Nothobranchius furzeri: one gene and its partners. The protein of the gene in region 3 interacts with the protein of the main gene of each other region in a biochemical or structural test. Links are inferred from orthologs where the notes say so. Each region holds a gene or a part of one and is shown on either strand. Other genes may lie near its edges.

What was found.
Region 1: the proteins of snta1 (region 3) and microtubule-associated protein 4 interact in a test that uses a peptide from one of them, tested with the Homo sapiens proteins (2 studies listed by BioGRID and IntAct). The link is inferred for Nothobranchius furzeri from reciprocal best matches to the Homo sapiens genes SNTA1 and MAP4.
Region 2: the proteins of snta1 (region 3) and rps6ka1 interact in a test that uses a peptide from one of them, tested with the Homo sapiens proteins (2 studies listed by BioGRID and IntAct, with this or other methods). The link is inferred for Nothobranchius furzeri from reciprocal best matches to the Homo sapiens genes SNTA1 and RPS6KA1.

What each region holds. Positions count from the first base shown.
Region 1 is NC_091751.1:59,304,546-59,309,328, forward strand, and holds part of microtubule-associated protein 4, read right to left. Parts: intron 2,591-4,783; coding exon 2,235-2,590; intron 1,697-2,234; coding exon 1,505-1,696; intron 1-1,504. UniProt on the Homo sapiens protein: Non-neuronal microtubule-associated protein. Promotes microtubule assembly.
Region 2 is NC_091758.1:28,123,208-28,127,990, forward strand, and holds part of rps6ka1 (ribosomal protein S6 kinase alpha-1), read right to left. Parts: intron 4,654-4,783; coding exon 4,573-4,653; intron 4,452-4,572; coding exon 4,372-4,451; intron 3,957-4,371; coding exon 3,850-3,956; intron 3,772-3,849; coding exon 3,734-3,771; intron 3,433-3,733; coding exon 3,290-3,432; intron 1,815-3,289; coding exon 1,744-1,814; intron 1,672-1,743; coding exon 1,583-1,671; intron 1,505-1,582; coding exon 1,440-1,504; intron 1,324-1,439; coding exon 1,221-1,323; intron 1,122-1,220; coding exon 991-1,121; intron 775-990; coding exon 649-774; intron 1-648. UniProt on the Homo sapiens protein: Serine/threonine-protein kinase that acts downstream of ERK (MAPK1/ERK2 and MAPK3/ERK1) signaling and mediates mitogenic and stress-induced activation of the transcription factors CREB1, ETV1/ER81 and NR4A1/NUR77, regulates translation through RPS6 and EIF4B phosphorylation, and mediates cellular proliferation, survival, and differentiation by modulating mTOR signaling and repressing pro-apoptotic function of BAD and DAPK1.
Region 3 is NC_091743.1:60,374,095-60,379,464, forward strand, and holds the start of snta1 (alpha-1-syntrophin), read left to right. Parts: upstream 1-1,760; 5' UTR 1,761-1,808; coding exon 1,809-2,091; intron 2,092-5,370. UniProt on the Homo sapiens protein: Adapter protein that binds to and probably organizes the subcellular localization of a variety of membrane proteins. May link various receptors to the actin cytoskeleton and the extracellular matrix via the dystrophin glycoprotein complex.

The sequences.
Region 1 (4,783 bases), on a different chromosome or scaffold from region 3:
CGAGGCGCTTCACACAAACAAAAAATGTAAAAATATAAAAAAGTAATTTAGAAAATGTTTAAAAATATATTTAAAATGAGCAAAAATAGACAATTGTGATAAAAAATGTTAAGAAAGACAGAAAGTGAACAGGAAAGAGGGAAATCAGTGGATCCTGAGGAAGGTGGAATAGGTGGGGAGAGCAGAATAAAGAGAGAGTGGTGAAGAAGGTCATACAAAAGCCAGCTTGAACAAGTGAGTCTTCAGCTGCTTTTTGAAGGAGACCACTGAGTCCACCGATCTCAGGCTCAGGGGGAGAGAGTTCCAGAGTCTGGAGGCCACAGCAGCAAATGATCTGTCACCTTTGGTCTTTAGCCTGGTGTTGCACAATTCAATTCAATTCAATTCAAGTTTATTTATATAGCGCCAAATCACGACAAGAGTCGTCTCAAGGCACTTCACATAATAAACATTCCAATTCAGGTCAGTTCATTAGGCCAATCAGAAATAATTTTTCCTATATAAGGAACCCAGCAAATTGCATCAAGTCACTGACTAGTGTCAGTGACTATACAGCAATCCTCATACTAAGCAAACATAAAGCGACAGTGGAGAGGAAAACTCCCTTTTAACAGGAAGAAACCTCCAGAGAATCCCGACTCAGTATAAGCAGCCATCCACCACGACTCACTGGGGATCGAGAAGACAGAGCAGACACACACACACACACACACACACACACACACACACACACACACACACACACACACACACACACACACACACACACACACACACACACACACACACACACACACACACACACACACACACGCGCACGCACACACACGCACACTCACGCACACTCACAAAGACTAGTAATGCGTCTATAGTTATATTGTGATGTCTTAGTAAATATTCTATTTGGTGAAAGATAAACTTCATTTGTATTTTTCCTCGTGAATCTATAATTAAACGGATAAACTAGCAGTAGCACATCCAATGTCAAGAAAAGTAAAGTGTTATTATCAGGAGAGGGAGAATGTTTAAGTGGTTAGCAGCAGTGTGCTAGTCGATGGCCCCCTCTATGAGGCCACCACAGCTCAGCAGAACGTCGTTGTAGCTTCTTCATGGCACAACCAGTAGGCTTTGATCACTGGACCTCAGGGACCTGCTGGGGGTGTAGGGACTAAGAAGATCACCAATGTAAGATGGTGCTTGTCCATATAGGGCCCTATAGACCAGAACCAGGATCTTGACCTTGATCTAGAACCTTGATCCTGACACTGCTTAGTCAGAATTTTGATGGGTTTCTGAATCAAACCTGAGGCTTTTTTCTCTATAGTCTGATGGCCAACACCTGAGACCTGAGAATTCCTAAAACGTGCACCAAAGCATTTAGAAAATGCAAAACTGTGTCCCAACAAGGACATTCATAGGATTGGATTTTGTTCAAGTCTTCACAGAATGAGACTGTCTGAACTTCCTGTTTCCACACAATAGAACAACTGTGTTGTAAACTCACCTTGGCAGCCTTGTTGGACGCAGCTGCTGCTGGCAGCCGCTTGGCAGCAGTAGGAGTAGTTGCCTTGGGTGCAGGACTTTTTTTATTGGCTGTAGTGGGGGAGGGGCGTTTGGCCGAGTTGGCCTCATTATTGGTGGAGAGGTTGGATGGACGCGATTTGGCTGCGTTTGTTTTGGTTGAACCCACATCGGGCTGGTTGATGAATGAAAGTAAAACAAGCCATAACAGCAATAATTAATGGGAAATAATCAAAAAGAGAAGGAAAACAAAAGACGAAGGAGGAGGAAAAGAGAGAAAAAAGCAGCAATGAAATCACAGCAATGACAGCATGATATGGCCGCAACACCTGCAAACGTATGGCAATCATACAACAGGTCATAAATGAACACATTTAATGATCACTTCAGAGTAGAGAGCTAATGAGAAGTAAGTCACAAAAGTATCAAATAAAAAAAGAGAGAAGCAGTTTGCAACTCAAACATGGACAGGAAGTAAGGTTCAATTCACACGCTAGAGAAGATCCAGCAAAAACACTAAATCAGCACAAAAAGAAATGCAAAAGGTGTCCATGAACCTTTACTATATAAATACAAAAGTATTACTGTTGTAGAAGCCTTGGAGTGATTAAACCATTTCTGTAACCACTGAATGTAGGATGGGTGTGCTGAGAGCACTGTGTGTGTGTGTGTGTGTGTGTGTGTGTGTGTGTGTGTGATTCAGACACACTGACCTTGCCCTTGCTGTCAGGACTTGGCAGAGTCTTGCTGCCGTTGCCTGTAGGAGACTTGGCTGTACCTTTTCCCCCCTTATCGTCCTTCTCGGCCACCTTCTTCTCCTCCTTCTCCTCCTTCTCGTCTTTGTTCGTCTTCTCCGGCTTGTCCACTTTCTCCGGCTTATCGGTTTTCTCCTTGTCGTTTATCTTCTCCACCTTTTCTTCCTTTTTGAGGATGTTCTCGGGTGTCTTATTTACGTCGGTGTTAGTCTCTTTCTTCTGCTGCTCTTCTTTCTTGTCAGAGGTGTCGATCTTGTCTACCTTGCCAGACGTTATGTCTGCCTTCTCCTGCTTGTCCTTGTTGTCGGATTTCACTGCCAGAGAGACATGGTAAATGTCTATGAGTATTTTAACAACATTTGATATGTGGAAGGAAAATCCGAGATTGATTATTTAGTAAGATCGTGTTTTATTGAATGACTAGGAACATGTTTTTTTAAAGACAAAGTTCACTGAGAAATCGTTTTTGCTTGTTATTTTTGAAAGTTTCACATGCAGGCTAAATGAGAAAATAGTATTCTACCCTTATTTCTGACATTAGCCATGTACATGAATAATCAAAAGGGGAGAAAATTCGATCCTTCTACTTATTTTTTAAAAACAATTGTATATGTGGGGTCAGAGAAGGTGGGTGTTGCGACCGCTTTAAACGTTCTGTCTCACGATGGCTCGGCCACGGCATGGCTGCGGGTGGGGTATGTGTGTTGCTCATTTTCCCTTGGATGCAGCCCCCTTTTCTAAGACGTTCACCCCTTCCTCTAATAGACAACACTGTAAGACAAATTTTTGCTCTCTCTCTTTGGGGGTTCAAGAAGGAATGGCAGCAAGAGTATAAACACAGTGTGAACTCCCTGCTGGGAGGAGGCACTCCTGGGGCTGCTTTGGGAAGAATCTCTGGACAGTTTCCTCATTTTTGATATTGCAATATTGAAACTAAATTTTTGATAGAATCATAGACTGCTTTCATTTTGCTTCATTAAAAATTCCACAACAGCCGCGACAGAAAATTGACAGGGTAACACTTGGACTACAAAAGCCAGTCGATTGCACGTCAAATAGAAAAGTATTGCTATGTTCTGTTCACCTTTGCTCTGGCTCACTTTTAGCTCCTGAAACAGGAGCACCAGAGTATTTTTTTCCCATCCAGGAAACATTTTATACACTAGACCACTAAAAATGGATTAAAGACACATTTCACAACTTTTACACTTAAAGGTTTTGGTGGGATATCTACTATATTCATTTTCAGAGCTGTGATAGTGCTATGAGGTCCCACGTCTGTTTACCGCAATATACAGTGTTTGACTAGCGGTCCACCGCCAGAAGTACTGACTGCGCAAACATACACTCCGTAGACATGAATATGTAGACACCTAATTGGGCATTGGAGAACGTAACAGCCATGTTGGATGGGTCTCCTCACTCTCCAAAGTCAAAGCAAAGTGAGCAACTATGCCCGTTTTTATGCAGCCTACAGTTACAACAACCGGCGTACAACTGAAAACAGATCACGTGGGATTACTAGTGAGTTTTCTAGCCTACCTGATAGGATTTTATATTTAAATACATTTTTAATATTATATTTATATTTGAATTATCATGGCATACCTTGTGTCTGATTTTGTGAAAAAGCTTGATAAAATAGTTGGGTAAGCACCTTTCTCAGGAGAAATCAATGCACTCGTGGCGAATGGAGACCCATCGAAAATGGCGGCTGGCCACTATGGCAGCGCCAGTCCATGGGGCGTCTACGTCTACATGTCTGTGGGAGACCCGTGGTTCAGAGAACTGGGCAATGGCAGATCCACTGAAGAAAGCGAGAAGTCCTTTATCAGATGAACAGGATCTGCTCGGGTGCCAGATCGGCTCGGGGTCCAGCGCCCGCTGATGACGTCACTGTACTGCGAATCTACTCGGCTTTCACACATACGTTTTGGAAAAACATCAGCAGTTTTGTTAATAAATTCTTGTTTGTTAACACCTACATGTTTTCTTTATAATTGTAATTTGTTAATAAAACACCATATTATCTTTGTTTTGTAAAGAATGTGAAACTGCATAAAACCAACATCGGACTGACAAAAAAAGACAACAGTTCTTATACGTGAAGCCACATCTGTTTGTATTAATGTGGAGTTCGTCTGTGTATTTCCTTAGTTGTGTAAATACATTCTTTGATTCAAAATGTTGCTTGGTGTCTTTTAATAAAATTCTTATATTTTATTTTGCCCCATTTCATCAACATCAAGAGCTTTTGATGGTCACCGTTTATCGTTTGCTTTTATTTCACATTTCCTTTGGAAATTCAAAAATTTTTTCTCCAAAAATTGTTGATTTATGGACTACAGGACTACAACCGCTAAAGCCTGATTTATGCTTCTCCGTCTGCGTCAGTGCGGAGACATGCAACGCCATTATCCGTCCTTGCGTAGGGCTCCGGCAGGCATGCAAGTACGTACGGAGTCGAGCCCACTTTTTTAAACATCCGTCAAACGAGACGGATTACG
Region 2 (4,783 bases), on a different chromosome or scaffold from region 3:
CCGACGTGTTGCTACCAGACGTACAGTGTGAGCAGTCAGATCGCATCTGAGAACTGGCTCGTACAGTGTGAGCACATGACTCGTGAGATCTGCTCTGCGAGGAAGTCGTACAGTTTGAGCTGAAGCTGAGTACTACGAGTGAAAAAGTCGTACAGTGTCCGCCCAGCTTTAGCATCCAGGAGAGAGTAGAGCACGTCTCGGCTAGTAGGAGCTAACAGTTAGCATCAGCAATTCCATAACATGGCAAAACTCCTCCAGGCTTGTGTTATTTGTGGAGATAAAACATCAACTTTGCAAAGCAAAAAGAGTCAGTGGTAGAGTTGCGTTGCTGTTAGCCAATCAGAGGTAAGACGCCCTGACATCAGGGATAGAAGACTTCAAATCCTGCCGTGTTCTGCTCCTCAATCCTCTGGCTAACTTCTACTTCCTGAAACATGAGCACCAGAGGGTTTTTCCTCCACAGAGATCGACTCATAAGGCATTTATTTATACTATAGACCACTGCAGATGTGCTGAAAAAACAAGTGAACTTGGTCTTAAAGTAATAAGCCAAAACTTGAAAGTACAAAACAAAGCCTTACAAGCTCTTTGCTGAAATTTCACTGCTCTTTTCTGTACGTGACAGGCTTTCCTCGGGTCTATTCATACCTTGACAGCATACTCGGTGTTGGTGGTTTTGTGGACACATCGCTTACAGACAGAGAAGGAGCCCATGCCTATGTCCTCCTTGAGTATGTACCCGTCATTGAACAGAAGGTTCTTTCCATGAAGCTGCTGCGGAAAAAAGGGAGATGAAAGTTTGAAGAGAGGCGGAGGAGTGACAGGCTGACGAGGGCGGATGACGGTGACGCTGGATTTATCTGTGGGAGCACTTCCTCTCTGGTGTCTCTAAATCTACATCAGGCAGGAAAATACTGGTACTTGTGGGCTGCTATAACCTTTTGAGCTTATATTGACACAGACATGTATCACGTGTGATTAACAGCGGACCTGGACCACGGGGTGTGGTGTGGGCTGCACTGGCTCCACTAAACCTTCTTCATCCAACAGATTTGATGCAACAAAGCTGAATCCTCTGAATAGCTGATGAGCTCCAGCACTGGGAGGCACGCCAGGAGAGTCTTAAAGAACAAAAAAAAAAAAAAAAAAAACATCAGTCTAATGAAAGAAAAGCTATAGAGAGAAAATAATCTACTGTTTACAGCACTTTGACCTCTGACCTTTCGGTGTGCGGGATGTGAACTCGGAGTCGAAGTAAAAGGTGTCATCTGGACGTGCTACAGCTGGCCTGAACGGGGGTTTTACTTCCCTTCTGAAGAGTTTCTGAAAGCAAAATGAACCAACTTTTACTAAAAAATGTAAAAAAAGATGTTTTAAATTTTCAACAGATCCTTTTATTTAAAAAATGATCACAAATAAAATTGAAACCAGAAACTCACGTTCCAGTCTATAGTGGAGAAAAAACCGTGGCGTTTGATCTCCTCTGCACCATCAGCTCCCGATCCTACATGGATGATATTTTGCGTTGTTGAATCTTTTTTGTAAAACTGTTTAAATCATTACTTAAAGAGTTGACACCGACCCAGTCTGTTGACAGGGTTCCTCTTGAACAAAGCCCTGAGCAGCGACTGGGCCTCGACACTCAGGAACTGAGGCATTCCTAAGCGCGCCCTGTGTTTAGACAGAGCAAAGATTTCAATATGGCCACCATCATGTTTCTTTTATTCCAGTGTTTTTACTTACTTTAAAATCAGGTTCATAGTTTCTTTTCGGTCCTTCCCTTGAAACGGAAGTGCTCCTGTCAGCATCTCAAACTAACGGAGAGAGAACTTCAGTTATTTAAAGAACTAAATGAACTAGGGATGGGGGGGGGGGGGGGTCAAGAAAGCATTAAAGTAGGAAGAAAACACCCAAACTGTCCTTTAAGTTTCACTTTCATTTTTTTTAGGAAGTACACGGATTAAAAACTTGACGGGGCGTATTGAGCACCGGTGCTGCAGGAGAACTAGAAACTAGAGGTGCTGAAAAAAATCGATTCAGGTCTGAATCAGGATTCTTATTTATAAAGATTCAGAATCGATTCCAAGAACTCAAATATTTGGCATGTTACAGGTTTGAGATGCACTTTTTTGATCTTTGTTAGGAGAGTCAGTACTCCGTTTACTTTTGTGGTCCCATAAATTGAGATGATTTATGTTTGAATCTGCTGATAAGAGGGCACTTGAATGTAATTTTTTCCATACTCAGAAAATAAATATGAGAATATCTCAAATTTCTAAGTTGATAAATGAGTACTCAGGATTACTCATGTAACTTGTTTCTACACATAGTATTTGACCGTATTACTTTCAAAGCTACTGTTAGGTAACTACAGATTTGTTATATTTTACAAGGTAAGCAAAAATAAATGTTGCCTTTTGGTCAAAAGATTGCTTCTGTTTACAGTTTTAGAATCACTTTTACATTTTTGGAGCATGACCAGTTTGAAGTCAGATAAAAATGTCCCATAGCTTTAACTAACTTGTACATCAAAGTAGTTCACCCTGGAGCTGACACTCTTAGTTAATACTGATTGTGAATCGATTTAAATTGAGAACCGAGAATCGATTCTGAATCGAATCGGCACCCCAAGAATCGCAATCGAATCAAATCGTGAGTTGCTCTAAGATTCACAACTCTACTAGAAACCCCGATGTTTTGCAGTCTGTTGACAATTTCTTTGTTTATTAGCGTAACTTTCTCTGTCAGCTGGCTCCGTGTTTTGGTCTGACTTCACTGAGAACTGTGTTAGAGGCAAACTGGGGATTAATGGCGACCAGTGATTTGCTTTGTTGATGCCCAAAGGCAAAAGCTAACAGCAAAAGTAGCTTGTTTGAAGGCAGCGAACCATGGAGCTGTCCTTACCAGCATGTTGAACGCTCAGTATGCACACATGACAAGTGTCTGTAGCTCTGCCTTGGCTGTCTGGTTTAAACTAACGCCAAGCTGCAGATATTTTAGCTCTCCTGAGGGGACACGTTAGCTTGCTTGGTGTCCGAGTCCTTGCCTGCCATAAATTGTGTGACGTTACTGTGTTGTTTTCGTACAAGAAACAAATATTGATATAGAGGGACTTATTGAAATGAAAACAAAACCATTTTTATTCAGTTTGAAAATCTCTATCTCAGGATGAAATTAAAAAGTCATGTTTGTTGTTTTATCCAATTTATTTCTCCTGATTCCGATCCTTCCAAAAAACGAATCGGAGCGTCCCTAAAACGAACAACTTGAAATAATAAATTCTTCTCACCATCAGTACTCCAAACGACCACCAGTCGGCGCTGTGAATGTGACCCTGCCTGTTCACCACCTCCGGAGCCATGTACTCTACAGTACCACAGAAGGAGTACGCTTTCTTTTCATGGTCGATGGCTTCTTTGCACAAACCAAAATCTGCGCGGAACAGAAACACAAAGCTCAGTCCCACAATATCAACATACGCGTGTTGCGTTAAACAACAGAAGCACTTCATCATGGGTATTTCATGTCTGAACTTCCAGAGGGTCACCTTGGGATCAAAGGCTCGTAATGGAGATAAGATAAAGAGTAATAATTAATGTGAGGGAACAAGCACTGGGCCTGTATGGAGATATGTGCAGTCAGAAAGATAAAGCTGTCATGGAGCGATGAGTAATGAAGGTCAACGGGGCAGAGGAGATTTAAGAGTGTGTGTGTGTGAGAACAGTAGACTCACCTGTGAGTTTGATATGACCCTCCTCATCCAGGAGAATGCTGTGAAAGACCAAACTGTATATTCATTTAATCTGTAGTGGAGAAAATTTCTGCTTTAGTGGGAAAACGTGTTTTTACTTTTCAGGTTTGAGGTCTCTGTAAATGATGCCCAGGCTGTGGAGATGGTCCAGTCCTAAAGCCAGCTCGGCCAGATAAAACTTCACATCCTCTTCTGTGAACATCACCTAGGAGTAAATCATACAAGTGATAAAAAGTTGTACCAAACAGATCAGACAAAATAGATGGTTCATTTTTTAATTTAAAGCCCCAGTCAGTAAAAACAATTCAACTCTTTAGCGAAACGCAGTTCAGGGTAGGTATTGCATCTACGGTAGCCCACACACATCAAAAAGGCCATGCCAAAGCGCAAACGTGAAATGCAGAGCATTATATCTTTTATGTCCGTAAGGAGCTCCTGTATTTCAAGATGGCGCTTGACAATGGAGGGTCAACTACAGCTTATGTATGTAAAAATGTAAAATTTTACGCTAATAGGAATAAATAAAACAGATATTGATGAGAAATATTAATAAAAAAGGACAATTTTATAGTAAATAAGTAAATATATTACAGACTGTGCTTTTAGGGATTCCCCTTTACCTCTTTAGAGAGCCGTGTGAAAAGATCTCCACCTCTGAGAAAATCCAAGATCAAGTATAACTTCCCTTCAGTCTGGAATGCTACAGATGAATATTCAAATATAAATCATCAAGCATGCACAGCTCAGATCTTAACGTTAAAACTCAAACAGTAATATTATTATCTCTGTTTAAGTGATTTTAATACAGCGAGCTGGCTCACCGTAGTGCAGCTTGACAACAAATGGGTGGTTGACGTCTGCAAGGATGTTTCTCTCCATCTTGGTCCTCACGCGGTCTCTGACTGAAGGACAAGAGTAAAAAGTCAATGCATTTTTCTATAAATTCTTCATCTGTGTTATTTGAAAAGAAAATACAAGAGAAGATGGTTTGTTTCTTTTATTCTTTTAAAAAGAACCCATTTCCAATTAAGA
Region 3 (5,370 bases):
TTTATTTTTTATTTACAAAATCAGACATATTGCATGGTATGATAGCTAAAATATAAATATAATAAAATAAAGCTCTACCTCTACACATTCATATCTATGTGTGAAATATCAATTTATAGTCTTTTCCTGGAAAATGCTAAAAAGAAATAAAAATCTAGTGAAAAAACAATTTAAATTTGTGTTTAAGGAAAAAAATATTGAATATTTTATAGCTATATTCATTTATATTAGCATTAAAAAAGAGCATTAATCAACTGTTCTGCTCTTTATTAGTATGGATATTATCTCATTACACTCACATTGTGTCTTAGGTTTTCTCAGCCTATGGCCCCATCAAAGTAAACAAAACAAAAAACTCCATCATTACCAGACACGTGTATTGAAATGATGATAAAACATTTGCTAATATCAACATGAACAATGCAATTCTCCTTTTTACATTTGGCTTAGATATGCAAACATTTTATGTGCCTTAATGGCATTTTGACCTTATTACTGTGATGCATCCGATGCCCTGACAGATTAAATTGATTTATCCCTTAATAACATCACAGTATGTGTTGTTATAAGAATATGCAATAAAATATCAGGGGTAACAGCATTCTAATTTTAACTTTAATCCGACATTCTCACTGCTCATTCTCTCTTTTGAAGAAAATACAATATCATTCAAGGGTTTTGTGTTATAGTGTTTTGAAGAATCTAAAATTTGATTTATGCATACATTCGGCTGTTTTGATGTAACAAACCAATCCACCCACTAGGGAGCGACAGAAGACTGATAAAGTTAAACCTGTAGCAGCATGTGAGAAATTCACCAATTTCGGTGGTAAATGTTTATTTCCAGAGCAGAAACCTGAATCCACTGTAATAGGACAAATAATTAAAATGTGTGCACGCCAGCTTAATCAGCTGTTTTGGTTTGGTAAAGATGTGCTAAGAAACAGTAAACTCAACAGCCCACCCAGAAGTATTCGCTAAAACTGGATGCTGGAACTTTTTTGCTGTTCCACCTGCTGTGAGACAGATGAACTCGTGCTGCCTGCCACACACACAGCCGAAGAGCTGGGAGATTAGTTTGCAAATCAAAAGAGTAGCAAAAACACACGGTTCCATCAGCTTGCAGCATTGAGTCATTTATGTTGTCATGTGTGTCCCTGTGCTGAATCACAATGAGTGGGCAAGACAAACGTCTATCAAAAGTTAATAGTTTATAAGACCAAACAGCTGCAACCCCAAACACATCTTATTAAAAACCATGATTTTGCTTCAATAATAAACACAAAACATGAGTGTGTTGATGATAAATAGTGTCTGTACTCATTGTCTTCTGTGGGGTCAGCACTCCTACTGAATTGCTCCAATATGAGTTTTTATTCCCCCTCAAACATTTAAAGCAACAGATGTTTAAATGTAAACAAAGACAGAGCGTGTGTACTTTTAATTCGCTATGACGGCAAACCTTGATGTGTACAAACTTTCTGGATTGTTTAATCAGAGATTCCGTGTATCAGCTCCAAACTGATTTCATTTTCTTTCTGGAGGAAAACTGAATAAATCAATAAAAAAATAAACAGATACAATAAATAACAGTTTTTAATGACTCAACCACACTCTGTTCATATAGGCTGATCTTTGAGTGTGTAGAACAGATAACTTTATTTGCCACTGAATGAAGGAATAGAAAGCAAAGACCGCGCGCGCGCCAGTGTGTGTGTGCCTCCGCGCGCGTGCCCCCTACCCCAGCCCCCCTCTACAGGACAGCCAGCCCGTCTAGAGTTATTCCAGGAATGTGTTGAACACTGAACATGGCCGCCGCGATGAAGGCGCAGAAAACGGGACTCCTGGAACTTCGGTTGAGCGTGGACCGCTGGGTCCGGGTGTTGGCGACACTTACCGAGGACACACTCACCGTCAACCCCGGAGAAGGCGTCGAGGAGCCCGCGAAGCCGGCTCCGAGTCCCGCAGGTGCTGTCAACGGAGACCCCCCGAACCTCAGCTCGTCCTCGGTCCCGGAAACCATCACCAACGTGAAGCGCACCGTTCGCATTACCAAGCAAGATGTGGGAGGACTGGGAATTAGTATCAAAGGTAAACTATCTTCCTGTGGTTACACTAATAATATGAAGTACTATTTAGGTGAGTTAGGCTTCATAGTTTTGCACAGTTAACTATCATCAAAAAGTATCAAAGTATCAAAAACAGCAATTAAATGTAACTTTTGAAAGTTTTATGGTCAGAATGTTGCTTTTTTAAGAGCTGCAAGTTAGTTAATCTGCAGTCATTTGTTTATTTATACTCACAAAATAAAAAAAAAATAAAAAAGACAGCTGTGACTTTTTTCCAGTTTTGCAGAAGTGGCTGTACCCTGTTAGGCTGGATGGGACTTCACCACCAACCTGATTAAATTCCCAAACAGTTTTTATAATAAAAGAAAGTAAACTTTACGTATTCACAGATAGACATGCTTATTTAACTCCTATATTAATGAGAGAAACTTGAATATTTTTGACACAAAATTACACTAAAAAGGTTTTCTGATGATGAGGCAGAAAAACAAGAAACAAAACGAGCAGAAATGCACCAATTCTGATTTTGTGAACCAATACAGATTTCTGATGTTGTACATGTGATCAGGCGATACTTATTTTGGCAGATTTAGATTTCTCAAAGTACTATAATTACCAGATTTACTATTATTATTTAAAATGATTAACATGAAATATATAATTAAAAAAAAATCACTCCACATGGAAGATCTGGTTTTTCTTGAGTGAATTAATGCTTACCCGGGTTTTTCACCAGATGCGTAAGCGGCACATAACGTAATGGATGCGTGTTCCCTGCGCCTCTTCCCACCAGGAGCATTTCAAACTGACAGCAAAAGTGTTTCACACAGCTGGTCCCACAAGGTCAAGAAGGCAACAGAGAATTGTAAGACCACGCATGATTTCAGCAGTTCACGTGATAACAAGCAAAGAAAAAAAGATGTCAGCTTGTATCCAAAAGGTCTGCGGTTTATTTTCTGATTGCCTTTACCTTGGCCAGTGGCCACACAGGTTTCACAGGTAATGATGTATTTCTTTTAAGCAAGTGGAATTCTGTATGAGTCTTTTATTTTGAAAGTTTCCTGTTTTTTACATGGCTTTCATGTTTGACTTCCTGTCTGGCCTGATCTGAAATGTTGAACTTGACAAAAAGTAGACCCAAAGCATAAATCTAGCAAAGAGACGAGACACAACGCTTCTGTAACGCTTTCAAGGCGTGTCGCTTTGTCGCCGGTGGAAGCAAAGTAGCTTGTGCTTTTCGGATTTTACGCAAAACTTGCGCATTTGGTGGAAAACCGAGGTTTGTGTTTGTGCATTTATGGGCTGGAAAAATGTTTAGATTTTGCAACCTTTGTTCCAAAAAATGAATCAGTCTCTTCTTGAGTTTCAGATTAGCTGATCACAAATTAAGCTGGTATCACTGAGTAGCTGTTGACCGATACTGACGATTGTTTTAGTGCATATCTTAAACAAGGGTATGTACTGTATATCTGAAAGGCCATTGTAATAAACAGTAATCCAAATACCGTCCAAAACTGAAAATTGACTTTTTGCTTGGTTGTAATAAAAAAAGTAAGTTGACTTGCTGGACATGCAAATTGATGCTATTTAAACTAAAACATGAACAAAAAATAAAATAAAGTGAATTAGAATATTCTCTCACCCCTCCCCTCGACTACAGTCCCTGTAAAAAAAAAAAAAAAAAAAAAAAAAAAACTACCGCCCCTGTGCCACGTCTGCCATAACTAGAAATCCACACTCCCGGAAGAAAAAAGAGTGTCGCAGTTTTTTAGGTCCAAACGTCTTTAGTTGTCCATGAGTTCAAATGGTGTGTATCTTTTTGGGACTCTGGTAGTTTGTTTATGTTTATGTTTATTTAGTTAGCAGACGCTTTTATCCAAAGCGACTTACAATTTATAACCTGTAGGGCATGTTGTGATCTGTGGGAGAAACCGGAGTACCCAGAGGAAACCCACACATGCATGGGGAGAACACGCAACTCCATGCAGAACGGCCGCAACCGAGTTTTGAACCTGCAACCTTCATGCTGCGAGGCAACAGTGCTAACAACTGTGCCACCATGCAGCCCAGTTTGTTCTAAAGTTGAAGTGGTATGCCAGACAATGCCCGCACTGCCTGCTCACCACAGCCATGGAATACACCCCATCAACACACAACACTATATTGGAGCCGGCGGAGGGAGGCTAGGGGTCTAAGCACACCTTTGTTGTTGCTTGGCTTCCTGGGGCTGGAGGCTAGGAAGGAGATCTGGGCGTCCGGTTGGGGTCTGGGGTGGTGGGTTGCTGTGCTCAGCATTGGGCGGGGGAACCTGCTCATCAGTACCCCAGCAGAAAGGGTCAAACTCTGGTAACCGGTAATGGTTGTACCCAATGTGCAGCAGTACCAGGACCAGAGTGAATAGTGTGTGTATGGGGAGCATGAGTGGGTGTCCGGCGTGCATTTTTGTAAGTCTTTGGTTGTATGTGCATGTGTGAGCATGAGGGAGGGAGTGTGTGACTGTGTTTGTGTATGACTGTATATGTCAGGTGGGGCCTTTGACTCCTCTGTTCTCCTGCGACTTCTTTTTATGATATAGATCTTCGTCTCCCCTCCCCCTGCCACACCTGGTGTGGGGTGTGGTGCCTTGGTCTGCCTGAGTGTTCGTGGCTGCCGGGTCAGGGGGTTTAAGATCTTTGGCATCTGCCTGGTCAATCCCGGTGGCTGCCTGGTGGGGTCTGGGTCCCTGGGCTCTGCTGGGTCCCCGGCGGGGGTGGTCGCCCCTGGGTCCCGGGTCGCTGGGTCCCAGGCTTGGCCGGCTAGGGGGTGGGAGGCTGCGGGCGGGCCTGTGGGCTTGCCGCTGAGATCTCCAGGGGCTCTGCCGGCTGCTGGTTGTGGCCCCCCGGGGCGACCCTCTGTGCCTCTCGAGTTGGCGGGGGCCTTTCTGGTTGCAGTCTCCTTGGGGTTCCTGTGTTCCGGGGCAGCGCCTGGATCTCTGGGACTTGGAGCTCCCCCCGTCTCTTACGCATCTTTGGGGGGCAGATCTGTGGTCCCTCACACTCTCTATTGGACGCTCCTATAGATAAACCTTACATAAACAAGCGCGTGTACACACACAGGTGCTCACATGGTGCTCTCAAAAGTATGGACTTGGGCACGTTCAACGCATGTCTTAAGGCTGTCGTTGCCACTAAATGCACTATGATTTATAATCGTGTGATTGTTCAGTTAAACTAGGGCTGGGCGATATGGACCAAAACTTATATCTCGATATCTTTAAGCTGAATTCCGATATACGATATATATCTTGATATTTTTCCTCCTG